2 linked regions of the Drosophila melanogaster genome follow. The protein of the gene in region 1 interacts with the protein of each later gene in a pairwise test. Each region holds a gene or a part of one and is shown in the gene's direction. Other genes may lie near its edges.

Evidence for each region.
Region 2: the proteins of CG15706 (region 1) and cad interact in a two-hybrid assay, tested with the Drosophila melanogaster proteins (one large-scale study listed by BioGRID).

What each region holds. Positions count from the first base shown.
Region 1 is NT_033778.4:16,222,609-16,233,381, reverse strand, and holds CG15706 (uncharacterized protein), read left to right. Parts: upstream 1-2,701; 5' UTR 2,702-3,038; coding exon of another isoform or gene 3,039-3,074; 5' UTR 3,075-3,304; intron 3,305-3,512; exon of another isoform or gene 3,513-3,602; coding exon of another isoform or gene 3,603-4,982; intron 4,983-5,051; coding exon of another isoform or gene 5,052-5,354; intron 5,355-5,422; coding exon of another isoform or gene 5,423-5,790; intron 5,791-6,577; exon of another isoform or gene 6,578-6,645; coding exon of another isoform or gene 6,646-6,739; exon of another isoform or gene 6,740-6,881; intron 6,882-7,129; exon of another isoform or gene 7,130-7,323; intron 7,324-8,055; exon of another isoform or gene 8,056-8,056; 5' UTR 8,057-8,214; coding exon 8,215-8,275; intron 8,276-8,466; coding exon 8,467-8,612; intron 8,613-8,672; coding exon 8,673-10,085; 3' UTR 10,086-10,164; downstream 10,165-10,773. Other genes in the region: CG15701 (uncharacterized protein), read right to left, coding at 1-415, 505-2,604, 3,039-3,074; Tsf3 (transferrin 3), read right to left, coding at 3,603-4,982, 5,052-5,354, 5,423-5,790, 6,646-6,739; CG7798 (uncharacterized protein), read left to right, coding at 10,755-10,773.
Region 2 is NT_033779.5:20,767,489-20,775,553, forward strand, and holds the start of cad (caudal), read left to right. Parts: upstream 1-3,242; 5' UTR 3,243-3,619; coding exon 3,620-4,421; intron 4,422-8,065. UniProt on the Drosophila melanogaster protein: Caudal (cad) is one of a number of transcription factors controlling segmentation of the embryo.

The sequences.
Region 1 (10,773 bases):
TTTCGTTCACGGCGATCCTCGCGAAGCGTTCCGTCTTCAAACTACGCGTGCAGCAGAGCACAAAGTTTCGGTTGGTGCACACATAGATGAGCTCACTGCCCGTATCGATGCTGGTGAAGCGCAGGCCCTGCAATCCCTGTCCCTGGAGTGCCGTGGTCAGCGTTTGCGTGTCATTCAGCTCACGCAGCACATCATCGCTGTAGATGTTGCCCTGGAACAGGGACTTGGTCTTCTCGTACGCACTCTGATGGCTCTTCAGGAGGCGTCGCTCCAGATAGCTCCTCAGATCACAGCTGCCACTCTGCAGTAGCTTCACACGCGCCCACGGCGAACTGAACTCGTTGCTGTTGGTGGACGAGGCGCCCTCCACCAGGGTCCACATGGTCAGCAGGCCGGAGTCATTCAGCGAGGCGTACTGTCAAAGGATTGCATATATAATTAATTATATGTATTCATATAGATCTTTACATAGAATTTATAAATGAATACTACAATAAAACCTACCTGAACTTCCTTGTACGTCGTCTGCAAACCACTAGTCGCAGCTACTCCTCCAGCATTCAAGTGTGATCTAAAGCTGCGCACATCCACCACAGCGCCCAGATCCATGGCATTTACCTCCTTGTCCTGTTGCTCCGGCATGGGAACCACCGATTGTGTGGCTGCAAAATGGGTTAGGTGGCCATCCAACTTGGAGCAGTAGCTGTGCGTCTCGCGCAAATCCCACATAGCCACACTACCATCTCTCAGTCCGGCCACCACGATATCCTGGGCCTGCGCAGATAGTGCCACACGGCTGACTTCCGCCCAGGTGGAGAGCAGGCGCAACGGCTGGCTGGGATTGGCCAGTGACCACACCATCAGAAGGCTGGCAAAGTCCTCCTTATATACATTGCTGTCCGCAGGACACTCGTGCACGGTGACCACCAGTTGTCCATTTCCGGCACTTCCAAAGATTCGACGCACAGGCAGTGCGTTCAGCAGTCCCGTCTGAAGTGGTACATTTCGAGGACTATTCCCCTGGCCGTGGGCCGTGGTTTTGCCCTCCAAAACCAGTCCCATAAGTCTGCCGGCCCTGTGAAGAAACGAATTCAGTCGCTCCAGATCCGTGCTCTTGGCCAATCTCTTTTGCTGCAGTTGCTGGGAGCGTGCCTGCTCCAGGCGATGCAGTTGCTCCAATCGAGAAATGCTAGCTTCGTATTCATCTGCAGGTTGCTTGCTCCATGTTTCATCCAACTCCGCATCGACACTGCAGCTGAGAACGAATTGCCCACCATAGTGGGGTGGATGTTGGGTCCAGCTGCTACGACTGTGCACCTCCAGCGTCTGGCACTCGCCGTCCATGTGTGGTGACTGCGTCTGTGTGGCCACTTGACTGGCATTCAGCTTCCCATAGCTCTGCATGAATCCCTCGTAGCTGAGGGGCTTCATCTCGAACAGGTGGTAGTTCAGTTGATCGAAACGCAATTTGGCCATTAGCTCTTCGCCGCGACGACTGATCACGGGATGGGAAACGAATCCCGAGTAGCCACCATAGTACACGTTAGCCTCTCCACTCCGGGGCTTCTCCACGCCAGTGGTGCTAATGCCCGAGTCCAGTTGCTCTGAGTTGGCCATCGAGTTGGTATCAAAGCTATCATACTGATTCTGCGTGGACAGACTGCTCAAGGGATTCCTGCGCAAATGCATGTCATAATGACCGGAGTCCAATTTCCGCTCTTGATCCTTGTCGCGTTGGATCACAGTGATGGGATTTTGGGTGGGCTCCGAATCCTCTTCCTCCCGCTCCTCCTCCACTTCCGCCTCGGAGGATGAGGGCTCCTGCGCTTCATCGGATTCCACCTCGTCGGGCGTGCTGGCATCGGTTTCGAAATCCGATTCATAGGATTCGAAGTCATCGGAGTAGTGATCGGATTCCGGTTCTGGCTTTTTGGCTTCATCGAATTTGACTTCAAAGGCCACTGGCTGTTTCACAGGCTCTGATTCCTTGGCCTCCACTTCGCTTCTTTGCTTGGCGGATTCACGCTTAAGGATAACCACTTCCTCGGGATCCAAGGTGCGTGTATAAGTTCTGGATCTTGCCGGAACAATACGAGCATCTCCCTTGGAAGGAGACTGTGGCTTGTGCTCCTTTTGAGTCTGTGCAACAGGGGAATATTCTTTTGATGAAGGCGTGGGCGATTCCTTCTCCTGCTCCGCCTGTCCTCTGCGCTTTTGCGGTGGCGAGGCGACCGTAACACTGTGATACGTGTCCAGAACTGCATTGGGCTTCGATTTGGCCACGAGCTTCGTGGTCTTGGTGGTCTTGGACTGCAGGGGTGGGTTTGTGGTCGTGGTTGTGTGTCTGGTGGTGGCACGCAATGCACCTGGGGACGGAGTGGTCCTCTTGCTCAAGGACTCCCTTTCCTTGTTTTTCCCCGTGGCTAATGGCTTTTTGCTGGCGGTCGTAGGTTGCGCTGCTGTTGTGGTTTTCCTCGCAATTTTTTCACCTTCCAAGCTATCCGGTTGTTTGGCCAGTGACCTCCGCTCCTTCGATTCCCTTGTGGTGGCCGGTCCACTTGTTGCTGGTGATTTAGTGACCTTCCTTGGCACTTCCGTTTTGACCTGCAATTCGAAAAGATTTTTGAAATCATAACGTCTTGTCGGGGTGCTCAGCACTATTTCTTAGCATTTTACAACACTGACCCAATCTTAACATATTGTTTTTTTTTTTGTGTGGCGATCGGTTCGTTTATTAGTTTTAATTGAATGCTATTCCATATGTGCTGCGCTATTAAAATGCTAATGTGTGTGCTATTGGGCAATAAGGCTTTAATTGCCATTAACTCGAAAACTAAGCTGCTAATCTAACTGTGCGACAGGTGTAAATGTTAAAAAGTTCGTTGGTTTGGTTTTTGTGAGCGAGTGAAATGCAAATTTGCTGTGCAAATAAGTGAAATCGCTGTTGGCTGCCAATCAATGGAAAGGTGTACTATATATTTGTGCTTTTGATATATATGTATATATTCTTCGTTTCAAGTGCCTTTCTTTGGGCTTACGTTTTTGCTGCTGGTTCGCCCCGCATTTTTTGACATTTTAGAAGGAATAAATGCTGTTTAAAGTGCTTAATTAAGCTGCGAATTAATAGAAGTAAATGCCGTATGCCACGTAAATTTAATCAATCGTAATGCAGCTCAGTTGTGACATTTTTTCCTGTTTCCCTGGCAACCAAATCCTTGTACATAGCAACAACAAAGAGGCCAGCAATAACACAATCAGCTGATCCGACAGTGCTGAAAAGGGCTGGCATGTTTAAATGCAACTGGTAGGTATTATTAAAAAATGTTTCATTAAATTTAGTTATTTGTTTGCAACGTTTGCAGTGTTATGCTTTAATTAGGAGCATAGAGCTCTGAGCTTATTAAATGCATTTTAAACTTCAACAACTTTTAATTAGCTAATGTTATCGATTGCCCATCCGATATTTTTCTATCGACACTAGCCGCTCTTTTTGAAATTCAAAAAGTCCGTTTGGGTGATAAAGCTCGTTTTGAAGCCATTGTTGTTCTTAACTTAAGTTTAGCGTAATATCACAATAAATAAGATTAGTGTTGAGCTCGGGTCTAGCCAAACGGCTGACCCACTACAAATAATAAGCAGACAAGCAATATCCATAAGTTATGACTGGATTTCATGGCTCCACTCTCGTCGAAATTCCTGTAGTACTGGGTATTGGCATACCGATCGTAGATGTGCTCCATCACCCGCTTGGCATTGTCGCGGTGCAGCTCCTGGAGGCCCAGTAGGCCATCGGTGTCGTCACGGAACAACACATTGTTCCTTTTATCGAAGATGCCGTATAGGGTAAATGGACGCGTCTCACTCTTGTACTTTCTACCAAACAACTGATCCATATCGCGCAAAGAGTTATATATCTCATTGCGTCGCGTCAGCGAAGAGTTGTGCGTCATCAGGTGGCCACGGGTGGTCCAATGCAGGTAGCAGTACTCGAAGTTGGAGCGCTTCTCAATGCCACCGTATGGGCACAACACCCGGAAATCCTTGTGATTTCCAGGAGTCAACCAATTTGAGGTGAGATTGCCGACGACATACTTCTTGTACACATCCGAGCTGAGGAAGGCCACATCGGCGCCCTCGGAAAGGCAACGCAGAGCACCTTCGTCGCCCTGGTAGTGAAGAGGACACTTGCGTCCGCTCTGTAGATTCCACAAACAGGAGTCGCGGTGGAAGTAGGAGTGCAGCGATTGCACCTTGCCAGTCGCATTCACAATAGTCTCCTGAACGGACAAATGCGCAGCTCCCTCGAAGGATGGCAAGCAGGCTCTGGCTCCTTTGAGATCCCTAAAGCTCTCGAACTTGGCATCCTTGTGTACGAGTGCAATAGTCACATACCGATCATGCATATCCGCTGCGAACTCGTATAGCAATGGCACTAGATTGTAATCCCGCTGAGCTTTCACGCGCATTTCCTGATCCACCAACACCACATCTGTCTCCTTGAACTTGGTATTATCCAGGCACTGTTGCTCATCCATGGTGCGGACGCACTGAATGTTCGGTTGCACACCATAAACTTGAGAAGCCTCCTGCAGCCAGGAGCACTTGATGTGCTGGATGATGGACGTGGTGCAGAATACAATGGAACGCGGTGGATTGCATTCCGGGAAGCTGTAGGCGGACTGGAATGCGGTGGCCTGGTCCAGATAGTCATCAATAGCTATCACATTATCCAGTGGCACAGTGAAAACGTGATATGTCTCCAGCAGGCTAAGCAGCGCATTCTGCCAACTATCTGGCTCATCATGATTGAGTCCAGTGACGAGACGCTGCACTTGAGCGGCATGGCTGCGACGGGCAGCCACCACGGGCCACGGCTTGGCCACCCAGACACATGGTTGACTGGCGTTCAATGGCTGCAGATGACCATCCGGGCAGAGATAGCTGAAGTCCGAGGGATTCGACTGGGCCGGAATGCCAGAGAACTAAAAGAAATAGTCAAAGAAGGTTATTCACAAATATTTGTGCGCAAAGATTGTATGCCTCAAACTCACACCAAAATGACTGCGCACATCATCCAGACGAGCCCAGGCCACATTCCCGCCACCACTGGTCAGGCAATAGAGAGCTCCGCGGCGTCCCCAATGCTTGTCGGTCTGGTCACAGCTATCCGGTTCGTAGCACATCTCGCACAGCGAGGGATATCGGTTCTTTAGGATGCGATCCTGCTTGGGATCGGGCACCCAAGGACCAGCCTTGCAACTGGGACCAAAGTACTTGGCTGTGGATGCTATCCGATCCTCCGTGACGGTCATTTCGGGATCACAAGTCTTCGAGACCATGGCAGCTTCAAAGTACTGTAAAGAAGTCGTATATACAATCAAAATTGGAGTACTTTTATAAGATATCCATTGAGGTGACCTACATTAGCCAGGACCTCCGTCCAGTGATTGCCCAGACCGTAGCCAGGATGGCACAGCCTTGCACCTCGAAGATCATGAACAGTATGGATATTGGCGTGGTTGTCCACCACCGCCACAATTTCGTACTCAAAGTGCGACTCATGGGAGCGCAACTCGCTGGCCACCAGGATCTCAACGCTGGCCCAGCGTGCGGCCACCAGATCCTCCGAGGTGAGCACTCCAAAGTGGGCGGTGCCCTTGTGGATACGCCTCACGCAATCCAATCGATCCACGCCGATGACGCACTCGATGTTGCTCTTCGCCTCCAGCAGCGGACAGAACTTGGGGGTTTTCCGATAAACGCCACGCGATTCCACCACACAAACACGCACTGCGGAAGGAGGAGGAGAAGCAAGTAAATCTTTGCATAAAGTTTGGACATCTGCTTAGTATACGATCGGCGAAAAACCAGTCGCTAGCCGCCGCATTAATAATGATTTTGTTTATTTTGAAGTATCTTTCGCATGCAGTTTTTCGGAAAAGATATTATCTTTGAGCTGGGTATTTCACTTGTCTGTTTTAAATTAAAAATTCCCCTCAGGTAACGCAGTTGTCGGGGAAAACCTGATTAAGTGCGCTGCATTCGCAGAATTCGCTTAATGGTGCAAAACTGGGTACAAGTCAGTTCTGCCCGGACGCTTTTTGGGCAGTGGATCACGAGCTCCAAGGTCGGGACAGGTTTTGGAACGGCTGTCTCTAGCGGATTTTGATTACACCCGGTGGAGTGGCAAGGTCGTCTGCTCTCTCGCAGTGCATTTCGATTAAAAGATACATGATGATTGGTGGTTTTTGAAACGGTTTTTATGTGTAGGAATTGTAATAAAAAGTTTAGTTTTACTCTCGACCACTTTTTAGATTGACTAACATTGTTGCTTGAGAAGTTATCATATATATTTGAAATGTAAACAGCTGCTGTCGGCCTTTACAGCATCATATTTCATAGTTTAATGGCTTAAATGATTGGTAAACAAACATAACTTCAGCAGAATTTAGTTGCATGTTCAAAATTAACATATTAAGTGCAACTTTAGACTTGCTTATGATTAAGATACATCTTAATTACAATCACAAGCTCATGTATCACTTATCGCCAACAGTTCGTCTACTAATTTACGCAGTTTGCATGCTTTTTATTAATATATTTCCAGACACAAGGCAATACGCCCCTCATCTTTGATTGACTTACATTTTCCATCATCGGGCGGCTGCACAGCCACGCACATCGATATTGATAAGAACGAGGCAAACAGCCCCACCAAAATAAGTGTAAGCCACTGCATTCTGAGCTTCGATTGCGTCAACTGCTTGTTAATTGTCAATTCACTCACTGAAGATCGTCTAACAGTCGAGATTAGGTTAGTTAATCAATGACTAGTTGGCTTCAAGCCCGAACCGCTCGCATTGGAAGATCGACGGCAACTGAAGGCAGCCCTCTCCCAGATGCCAGCGAGTAAAACCTGATCCGAGCAATCCGTAAGCTCCGGCTGCAGAACGAGATCGCCAGTAAATAAATAATAAATGGAATACAAAGCAGCTACGCACAGCTGATGATGAGTCAGGCGGGGTTTTTTGGATAGCTCTCTGATTGATTAGTATCTTTTTGCGTGAGAATCTAAGCGGGGATCACCTATATAAAAAAAAAAACATTAATCCTATCTATACATTAAGCAGCTGTCCAGTCCAGCGCTTTATCAATTATGTTTGTATATACCAAACATATGATTAACGAACGCCTTATCGGCCAACTTGACTTATCAGTTTCCATGCGAACTGCATGCCTTTCGGCATTATTTGCTTGCCTCAGTCTCTGACCGCAGCTCTTGGCGTCCATATACTCAACTTGATCTCTGGGAAATCGTCACTTGTGGGTGGATTTTAATCGCGTGAACCTAATTGCTCGACAGATAATCAATATACTTAATTAACACTATATGCACTATACACGTTTCGTGCAATTTCATTGTATTCAAAGCATTTGCTCATCACAACTTAACGTAGTCAAGTGAAGCATTTCTATGGCTTCCCGGTTATAACTTGAGTTAGCATCATTCACGCACCTTGGGTTTTTTTTTTCTTCTCGTAACTCCCCTGTTATTTCTAGGGATTTCTAAATTGTGTTTGATTAATGATCAATCTACGAAAGTTATTTCGGCTTTGGCAAAAGAGCAATTTTTTTCTGTGTCAAGTTAACAAGTGATTTGGTACCGCAAACCGGTTTTTATCTACAAAGTATAAAAAAAATATCGCAAGTTATATGAAAATTACTAATTGAGTTGGTTGGTACAAGTGGGGGGGGGGGGGGAATCTTGGACATGCCTCAAGGGCATATTTATTATGGCAGGCCCTAAAATCTTTATCGCACATACGGTCTTAATTTTCCAACAAAATCTAACGACTTTGGTGCGAAAAGATAAGATTCGTTGTTCCGGAGTGTTATGCTCCCTCCCTTTGGCTATCTCAATAGAACTTTTATGCAGACGATTACAGACTGCTATATAGTCTGGACTAGCATCTTATCGCGATGTGATTAGATATAGTTTAGCATTCTCTGATTTACATCCATATCGCTGTGACTATTTAAACACTCTATCCACCAGACGACAGATTCCCTAAGAACGTCGAACGGCGAAGTCGAAGACGTGCGAAAAATTATGATCTTATCTGGGTAGGAACCACATCTCACCCGGCATAACCAGAGGATTGCATGGATATATCCGAACTGTGATACACTAGCCATAATTTTACAGACTGCACAATGGTGCGATTAAACAGGCGCCTGCTGCCCATCAAGGCACATTTCTTCTTTTTCATGGCGGGTGAGTGTAAAGTTATAACTTAACAATCCAAAATTAAAGCCGATTTCGCACTTCGTGAGATTCTTTCGTATCAAAATGTTCTTATCGCTGACATTATCGAATATATGATGTGAGAATCTGCTGCAATTATAGAAAGATTTCTTGGAAATTATTGTAGTTTATAAACTCATGTGCACATTGTCAACTTTTAGCCATGGGACCCATATTGCCACAATTGTCGGTGATCGGCAAGCAGATCGGTGTTCCACCGGATGTTATGGGCTATATTACGGCCGCCTTGCCCCTACTTTATGTTTTAGCCAAACCCTTGGTGGGTTTCCTAGCCGATTATTTCACGGTGAGCTTGATATGCCTAGTAACTATTAATATAAATACTAAACTATAATCTTTGTTGCAGAGCCTGCGCAAGTTCATCTTCATCTCCCTTATCCTCATCATGACACTGGCCTTCGCCGGCTTCTATTTCCTGCCCGACAACTCACATTTCATTCCATTGGACGAGGGAAGTGCCCAATGGAATGTAACGTTATTGACGAATCCAAACGATTGCAATACCATTATCCAATCCTCCAACGCATTTTGTCAAACCACTCATCAGGCAAAATGCATTCAGGAAGAAAAGGAAGTAGGCGAATTCTCCGCTCTAATTGTTGCCAACGAGTCGGGCCTCAATCTCAACCAGAATCTGCTTCATGGCAACGAGAGTTATCACATCTGTCTCACGCAACCAGCAGCCATCGATTGGAACAGTGCATCCTGCGAGGTGCGACACGTAAATAGCTGCATCTATGGTGCTGGCAAGTTCTGGCTGTTCGTATGCCTGCTCTGCATTGGAATCGTTGGCTTCAACGTGACAAACTCCATATCCGATGCCTGTTGCTTTGACCTTCTGGGCGATGAGGAGCAGGAAAAGTACGGAGCACAACGAGTGTGGGGCACCATTGGTTTTGGAGCCACTGCCATGCTAGCCGGAATCGTAGTGAACTGGTGGACCACGGATGCGGTCAAAAGTCTGACGCCTGCCTTGATCATCATGTGCGTGTTCAGTTTGCTCGATCTGTTCAGTGTGTCCAAGCTGAAGCTGCCGAAACTGGGTGGTTCCGAGTCCATCTGGAGCGATGTTTGGCAATTGGTGCGCAAGCCACCCATTCTGGTCTTTCTGTTCTTCGCCACAATGGCTGGCATCATTGACTCCTTCATCATATACTTTATGTTCTGGCACTTGGAGCAGGTGGCCGAGGCCACTGGTTACATGCATCAGATCAAGTTGATCGAAGGTCTAGTGGTGGCCGCCGAGTGTCTGGCCGGCGAGGTGCCCTTTTTCTTCTACAGCGGAAAGATTATCAAAAAACTGGGCTATGTTCATTGCATGAGCATGTGCTTTTTCTTCTACGCTGTGCGACTGTCGCTGATCGCCTGGATTCCCAATCCCTGGTATCTGGTGGGCGTGGAGCTCTTTTTCCAGGGCATTACCTATGCTCTGTGCTATACGTGCATTGTGGCCTACGCCTCGGCGGTGGCTCCTCCGGGAACATCGGCCACCGTTCAAGGATTGATGGCCGGCATGGACGATGGACTTGGCTTCTCCATCGGATCCCTAATCGGCGGACTTATGTTCAAAAGCCTGGGCGGACGAGAGAGCTTCAAATACTTTGCCATAGCCGCCATTTGCACATGCGTAGCACACATCGTTATACGTCCCACATCCAGGAAGAGGCAATTCCTGCCGAGACAGGGATATGTGCCGCCAACGGAACAGGAGATCAAGCAGCCGCCCGCTCAGGAAATGGAGGAGATTCGTTTGGGATAAACATAGTATCAACACATGCCATTTTTATTGCATATTTTTGTACTAATTTTTTACGTTAAACAAAAACAAAGAAAGAACGACAAGTTGTCCAAAAGTTGAATGACTTTGCTCTCTCGGGGTTTTTGTTCGATTGTTGGCGCACACGCGATCTCAAGTGCTCCGGCCCCTCCAGCTGTCAACATGGTTATATAATACCTGAGCATCGCACAAAAGAACCCATTGAAAGTGAATCTGGGGCCAGGCAGATGCCTCGCTTAAATGGCGAGCGATTCCCACTCCATATATTAACGAAACTGGCCCGATCGGCCTGTTTCAATGATCGAGAATTGAAAGTCTGACACTCATCTGCATGTTTGGGATTTAAGTTAAGTTAGAGAATTGTAGTTTTAGTTCTACACCCTAAAATAACCATATATCTACTGATTTCTCAGAGCAATAGCCTTTCCGAAATAGCTCCAACAAAATAAAAGAATTGGAGATGGTTATGACTTCCAATCTTTGTCGCCTAGTGTTGATAATTTATGCTCGAGTGTGGGCCACACTTCAGAGCTGTCCAAATGAGTGCTTGTAAAAATTAGATTGGGCCAAGTTGTGCTCCGAATCTCGCAGCAAACTGGATGGCTATATAAGCCACGAGTTACCATTAGAAGCCTGCATTGTTTCTGGAAGATGTGGCCCATTTGGCTGC
Region 2 (8,065 bases), on another chromosome or scaffold:
GTCTATTTTTCGACAATGACGGTATATTGAAAATAAAACTACCAAATCAACTGCTTCTCAACCAATTGATTGGCAATAATCCTGGAATATTCCACAAGAAGGCTTGGCTGCGAATCCGAAAGCAATTTGGGCTTTCCACCCATGTGTGACTTGCCGCCTTTTGTTGTTCTTCTCCACTCTAATTTGTTTTATTAACAAAGATATTTTATCGCCAATGTCGCGGCACCCATAAAGGTGCTTGATTGCGACGGCGAAGGAGGCGGTTGCTCGGCTCGTACAACGCAAAATGCACTTGCTGCGGGATCGGCTGGGGGTTGCGGGTGGGCGGAAGGGGTTTCTGGAGGGGTTTGGCCCGGCAAACGGCCGTAAAACTCTCAAAAACGTTAAACGAACCGACAAACAGCGAATGCCGCACGACAATGATACGTCTACCATCCATACATATCCATCCATCCACACTCAAATCCGTCTGGCGTCGACGCTCCACCAAGCCACAGATATAGGTTGTTAGATCGGGACTGGAACTTGGACATATCTGTAATGGTCTGATTGCCCCTTGAGTTTTATTTCGGAGTCTGCTTTATGGGCTATGGCGCTTGCTTTGCTTTCTTTATGGATTTATTAACATAATTGAGGGAATATGTATAAATACCATTGAATTCGTAGCAGGTTGTTAATGTCAATGGCGGGGACAGATTCTAATTTACGATGGCCAGATAGAGATGCATTAGAGTGTTTTACAGATTGAAATAAATCTTTCATTGCCGGAAGGGCAATTCGAAATGGATTCTCTGCTTTCGATTCAACTAATCGTCGGGGAACGTTTGTATATTATAATATTATGTATTATGTTTGTAATTGATCAACACTTTCTATTTGATGAAAAAATATTACAATCTTCTATCAAATCTTGCGTTTGTACGACCAAAATTCATGATTCATCTCGAATTTGCCGCCCAGGGGGAGTTACCATATGTTTACATAGATCACTTAGGGATTAGCCTTTTTGTGCGCCCCTAATGACTTCCAGGTAACGGCGTGTTACATGACTTGCCCGTGCCTGGGATGAGACGAGGAGCCCAGCCTTATAGAGCCCACGGGTCGTACCCTTCCAGGCCCAGCCCACGCAGTAAATTCCACCGAATTGTTGACGGTTTGCGAAAAAGAGGAAAAAACAAATCTGGGCTGTGGCTGCCTAATTGTTGTGTGAATTTTATGGGCCGATCGATGGGCAGGTCAACGCATCAGCACCACCTTACAGGCCTTGTTTGGTGTCCTCGTTCCCGTGCGACCTCTACGATCGCATCCTGGTTTCTGTATTCTGGTCTTTGGGTCGCAATGGCGATGGTTATGGCGAAAGCGATCGCGTTCGCGTAATCATAAAATCACCTTTTGTGCGCGGGCCTTCGATTGTTTTACAACATGTTTTGTCTTACGGACATTAAGGGGTTTTTTGTTTGCAAACGAACCCGAACCAGTTTTTGGTAGTTCAGCGTTAATAAGTGAGTATTGAGTACCTCCCTCGCGAGGCCAACTGCCCGGTGTGCTTCTGTTCCCGTGTTCCGCCGAGTCCTTTTCGGGGATATGTCGGTTATCCTCCATTGTGTCAGCTGCATTCACTTCTAATTATTTGACGCGACATTTGCAGTTTGCAGTTTTACGATCCCATACCGAGCATCGAACATCGCGGCAATCAATGAATTTATTTTTTACAGATTTAGAGAGGATTTCTGGAATCTCGGGATTACTCAATCGGCGCGAGCTTAGCGTTCTTTTTAGGGATTACAATTGGGAGTAGCTGTGTGGTATCGAAATTCTTGCGAAAAATTAATAAGAATGGTGTTAGCTGACCTGGAATTTGTGAGGCAGGAATATGTTTAACCAACTATACCTTATTCCAATGAATATATTATATTCCTTTGTGTAAGGAAAAATTATAGTCAGATAGTTTGAAAATAATTGGACAATGATTTCACATTCTAATCTTAGGGTATATTACATGTATAGTTTTATAATTAATGCCACAATATGAATATTTGGAATTTGTTATATTGCCAATATATTATAATAATTAGGCGCGTTTGCAATCTTATGATCACACGCGTGTCTGTCATAAATTATAAATAAATCAATTTATTTATTATTATTCAAATTGCGTTCAATTATTAGTTTTTATGTTAGTGAGGAGGTTTTGTAAATGGGTTTATTGATATTATTAATTCTTTACCGTATTGGGCCAATTTTGCCTTTTGCTTCACGAAATGGGTAACACTTTTGCTAAAGTCGTTATGAAATAATAATCGATATTTCAATTCCACCCATTTGTTAAACTTCCAGCGAAGTTTGATCGAAAATAAGTTCTCATGGGAATTTAAATTGATTAGTCATATTTTTGGTAATGAAGCTGGAAACTTTCGATTTACATTAAATGATAGATCCGTCAAAAGATCACCTCATTTTTAGTACCATCTTTTTTTTTTACATAAGCCCCTTGTATCACATCTTGCACCTTATCAATGCCAGACTTCTTCCGCTATATTTGAGTTCCCTGCGAATTTTTATCGCTGCTTACATGTCAATTATGGCATTAGCTTTACAACTAGAACCGAACAATAGTGCTTTGACAATATCGAGGCGCCCATATAAACAGCGATTGCTTGGCAAACACCAAAAGTCTGGACATCAAGTGTGTGCAGATCAAACACGGTATATGGATATGGAGAATAAAATCCGGAGGATAAAACATTGATTATTCCCCAGATAGAGGTACATATATCGCGACTATTACGACCGTGGCAACATAATTTTACAGCCACTAATTGCATAATACACACGCATCTCCGCAATTACTTAATTAGCCAACGGCAATTGCAATTAAAGTACATACAAATCGAAAGCGGGCCATAAAGGAAAAGGGGTTTTCTTGGCCAAGATATTACGACAAACTGCATACCTGGCTCAATGGGGCGTGGCCACCTGCCTGCCAGCCATCGCAGACCGGTGCGAAAGAGACGGAGCACCAGACAGACGGAGATAGCGGTAGTCAAGCACTCAGGCCATCTTGAATTTCGACCGAGCAACGGAAATGAGGGTTAAAAACGCCCAAGTAAAGGCACTGCTCGTGCGCTAGAAAGAGACAACTAGTGAGTGCCGACTGCGGTGGTTGTTTTTTTTGAGCCTCTCTGCCTGTTTATCTGATTTTCCACTGCTTTGAGTTTTTTATCAGTCGAGTCTTGCTCTACGTTTCAGTACGTGTTCGACCTGCATACTGAGTTGACGTCGCCACGCACGGAATAACATTTCAAATTAGTAGATTAGCCCTGCAAAACAAAAATCCATCTCGTGAGTGAGTGCTGAAAAATAGCGTTTCGAAATATTATCGATATCTCGGTCGTATGTTACTGTGCTCCCAAAAAACACATCACCAGCCAGTGATAACTGTAAAGATTGACAAAGCAAAATATATCCATTATAACCCAAACTGAAACTCCAGAAAATGTGCAACTAAAACATATTGGCCATCAAAGTGATAAGACTTAGAGATTAACGCCGGATTATTGGACACCGGACCGAGCACTGGGACTATCTTCGGAGAAAGCGCACCTAATCTAACCTCAAAATGGTTTCGCACTACTACAACACACTGCCCTACACACAAAAGCACAGTGCCGCCAATTTGGCCTATGCCTCAGCGGCGGGCCAGCCATGGAACTGGACGCCCAACTACCACCACACGCCGCCGAACCACCAGTTCCTGGGCGATGTGGACTCCTCGCATGCCGCCCACCACGCGGCCGCTGCCCACCAGATGTACTACAACTCCCATCACATGTTCCACTCGGCGGCGGCGGCCTCTGCCGGGGAGTGGCACTCACCCGCCTCGAGCACGGCGGATAACTTCGTTCAGAATGTGCCCACGTCGGCCCACCAGCTGATGCAGCAGCACCACCATCATCACGCCCATGCCTCCAGCAGTTCCGCCAGTTCCGGGAGCAGCAGTAGCGGTGGTGCACCGGGTGCGCCCCAGCTCAACGAGACCAACAGCAGCATCGGCGTCGGAGGAGCAGGCGGTGGCGGTGGTGTTGGCGGGGCCACCGATGGAGGACCAGGTTCCGCACCACCCAACCATCAGCAGCACATCGCCGAAGGTCTGCCGTCGCCACCGATTACCGTTTCGGGCTCGGAAATCTCTAGCCCGGGGGCGCCGACTTCTGCCTCGTCGCCGCATCATCACTTGGCACACCATTTGAGTGCCGTCGCCAACAACAACAACAACAACAACAACAACAACAATAGCCCATCCACCCATAACAACAACAACAATAACAATTCGGTGAGCAACAACAACAGGACATCGCCATCGAAGCCGCCATACTTCGACTGGATGAAGAAGCCCGCCTATCCAGCACAACCACAACCAGGTGAGTCCTTAGAGACCCAAGAATATATTAAATACAGATTTAGTGTTTTATGAGGGGGTATGATCGGTTACTTCATAACTTTATGAGTAAGGCTAATAACCTGCTTTTACTGCAAAGTTAAGGTCTATGCTTGCCATTGTCACTAGCTTGTATGAGTTTTTTTTTTTTAATCGAATGTGAAATAAGATCTTACTCACCGAAGGCTTTTAGTCCGAAAGACCTCGATTACCCGAATTTTTGTGTATTCAGCTACTTAGTCATTCCACTGACCTTCGATTCCGCGTACCCTGCGCTTGGGTTTCTCCCGCATCCGCCTGGCTACATTCCGAACCCGAAGATTCCATATTGCCCAGCACATAATGCACTGCATTGTCTTCCCGCCAAGCTCGTGCTGTTCGCGCTTTTCCCTGTCCATCTCTCACGGTACATATATGGGCTTTTATAAGAATCCGTTTGCCTGGCGCGCATCCAAGTCCAAATGGCCAATTAGCTCATAAAAATCAAATTCTGTTCAAGCTTCACTTTTATGATATTCAGTTGGGGTCGCGAGATCCCCGATCCGACGCCTTGATTTATGGCCACCCCGTGTTCACCGTCCACATGAGTGTTTCTGTTTGTTTGCTCCACTCTGTCTCCGTCTCGATTCCGATTCCATTGACTAATTTTGTATCGTAAATCAACTTAACAACTATAAGCATTTGAAAATGGTTTGATCAACTTACCAATAACCAGACAGCATTTGATGGAAAGTCCATCAGAGTAGAGGACTGGACTGTAAAGGCTTAGGAAAGTTAGGGAGTTCGGAACCTATTTCACAGCAATTAGCATTATGTGGAGTGTCTAATTGAAGGTTTCACTATTTTCTAAAAATAGTGAATATTCTGAATAATAAGTGAATAATACCCAATTCGACTCTCTTCTCTCAGTTCATGCAAATTTTCTGTGATTATGTGGATTTCTTGCGTTTTGTTTGCTGTGTTTTCCTACACCTCTGGAAAAACAAGCAAAGGCAATTCAGATGGCAGTGCAGCGATCTCAAACATGAGAAGGAATAAACCACTCACACATTTGTTCACGATTTATGACCCGGGCGCATGTCAAGAAGGGGAAAATGAAGACGACGATATCGACGATATCGACAATAACGCCGATATCCATTAAGCCCATAAAATCTGTTGGCATGCAATTAGCGTTTATGGCCGCTAATCCAGCTGATCAAGCCGACAAGGCGACTCAAGTTTGCCTTATTTATTATTATTCAAAACCCCCTTTAGCCTCCGCTGTCTGAATGTCACCTTTCTGACGCGCGACTGATTGTAATTCTTGCCGTATTTCATTTGCCTAAAAAGCACAAATATTTAAGTAAGAATAAATATTATATAAAAATAAAGTTAGATATTATTTACAGCCACTATGAGCGATCAGCAGCACCTTTTGCCAACACTTTGCTCAGGTATTATCTCTCTGGCATTTTCTTTGAATTGATGGTCTCGCCAAATCGAGTAATAATTAGTAATCTGCCTTTTCCAACAGAAGAGAAGAGGGGGGCTGTGACTAACACTTCGTGATTTTTGATAGAATTATAAAAGGTCCATTTTCCGTTGTCTGCGCGGCATGTGGCGGCATGTGGCGGCAGGGCACGTCGAAGGCCCACTTCAGCTTTCGGGGTGTGGCAATAAAACGGCAACCACGATTGTCGCTGGATGCAGATGCCGTGTACTTTTGTTTCAATGGCTGGTGGTTCGGGCGGGTTTTTCGATTAGATTAGCTAGCGTGGGGAATCAAATAAACGCCCGCCCTGTCAATAAGTCCTGAAAACCCCACCCAACCCATGGGGCTGCGAGTTCTATTTTCTGTTGCTTCAATAATGTGCCGAGTGATATGGAAACGTGGCCACAAAAAAAAAAAAAAAAAGAGTTCTTTGCGTGTTATCTAAAACGTCAAAAGCGTTGTTGATAAGCGATTCCGCTGCGTTTGCGACGGGCATATTGATTAAAACAATATAGGGTCGTAAACCAATAAAAATTAGTATTACTTCCAATAAAAACTAAATAGCGACATTTACGATCAAATCTATGCAATCATTATTAAACGGCAAGAAATTTAAGTGTCCATAGTTCAGAAAAGGATAGTTCCAACAATTCTGGTTTGCCAAAGTTGGCTAAAGTATCCAACCAATTGTATCAGTTATCCAATGTTGCCCAAATAAGGCTCCTCATTCTTTGATCCTTCGATTGGCCAACATCTCATTGCATTGAACGCACTTAGCAATACATTTTTGCTTATTAGCTGTCCGTAATTTATTGTCGTTATAATTTCTCCGGAGAACCAAATGTATCTAGGGGCCCAAGGAGTTCTTACTGGGATTGTCTGTAGATTTTCAGCATTGCCCGTGTTGGGACATAAAAACTAATGCCACCTGACACATTGAGATTTAATGTGTCAATATGCACAGAAAATTTATATCTAGCCACATAAATAATCGAAAAAGAGAGAGAGAGAGAGAGAGAGAAGGAATATATGGCGGGCTTGGATTTATATTGCTTTCCCGACGCATCTGAAAAGTGTTGTACTGCTCCACCGGCGCGGATGGGATACCTTTGTGGTCCGATTTTGGTCTGGGTCCCGCTCCGAGTACCAGTACCGTTCCCGGTCCCAAGATAAGCCATCGAAAATGGCCACTAGCTGCAGTGGAAATATGTTTGGTTCGGTTTCCTTATCAGCACTATCGCTGTTTGCCGATGACATTTACCCTTCCCGTTCACCCGTCCAAAGTTTCCTCCTCCGCTCCTGCACGGGTCAAAAATGAAGTCGATTTTTGGCTGCGACTGATCTACGTGGAGTGTGCGTTTGGATCGGTGATTGACATGATGGGATTAGCATTGGAACTCGCTGGCCAGGCCGTCCCATCTCCCTGTCCGTTTGTCACGGACTTGTTACCAATGTGTCGTTTGCTCTGGGCTTAGTTGTCCAAATAATAGAATAGAATCGTGTTTGGGTTTTCCTGCTCTATTTGTATTGGCCCTGATATTGGTAATAACCAGAAATTCGAGTCTTGTCCCAAAGCCCTGCGCACACAGCCGTATATATGTCCATATACGCATAGGTCTCCACTTTCGTGTACATGTTTTTGATATACCATTCGAGGCGTATCGAGTTTATATTGGAGGCGCTAGGGATTCCGGGGGCTTAAATTGGGGTTACGGACAGCTTACTCAACGGAGTGATAAATTAAAATGGTAGCTGTTCAAAATGGGTGCGAAATGTGTCGGACGATGTGTTATTTATTAATGGAAATTGGCGCATTTTATTTTGATGAATTATAAAACAATGTAGAATGTAAAGACCATGGAAACTAATTTAAACTACTGTACAATCCATTTGGAAATCTTTGCCTCAAGTTATTTTATCAATGAAAGTAAACAGCAAAGAGAGAGTCCAGAAACTGTAAATTATAGCCACGTTTCCTGTTCGCCATAAACCATAATTCCATAATGGGAATACTGCGATGTACATATGTACATAGTTCGTATCGGGAAAACGAGGCGAAAGCCTTTTGTTTGGGGGGCAACTTGGCCAAGTGACAGGGAAATCCGATTGTCAATCAACGAGGTCCGCCTGAATTATGACAACACAAAACGTTG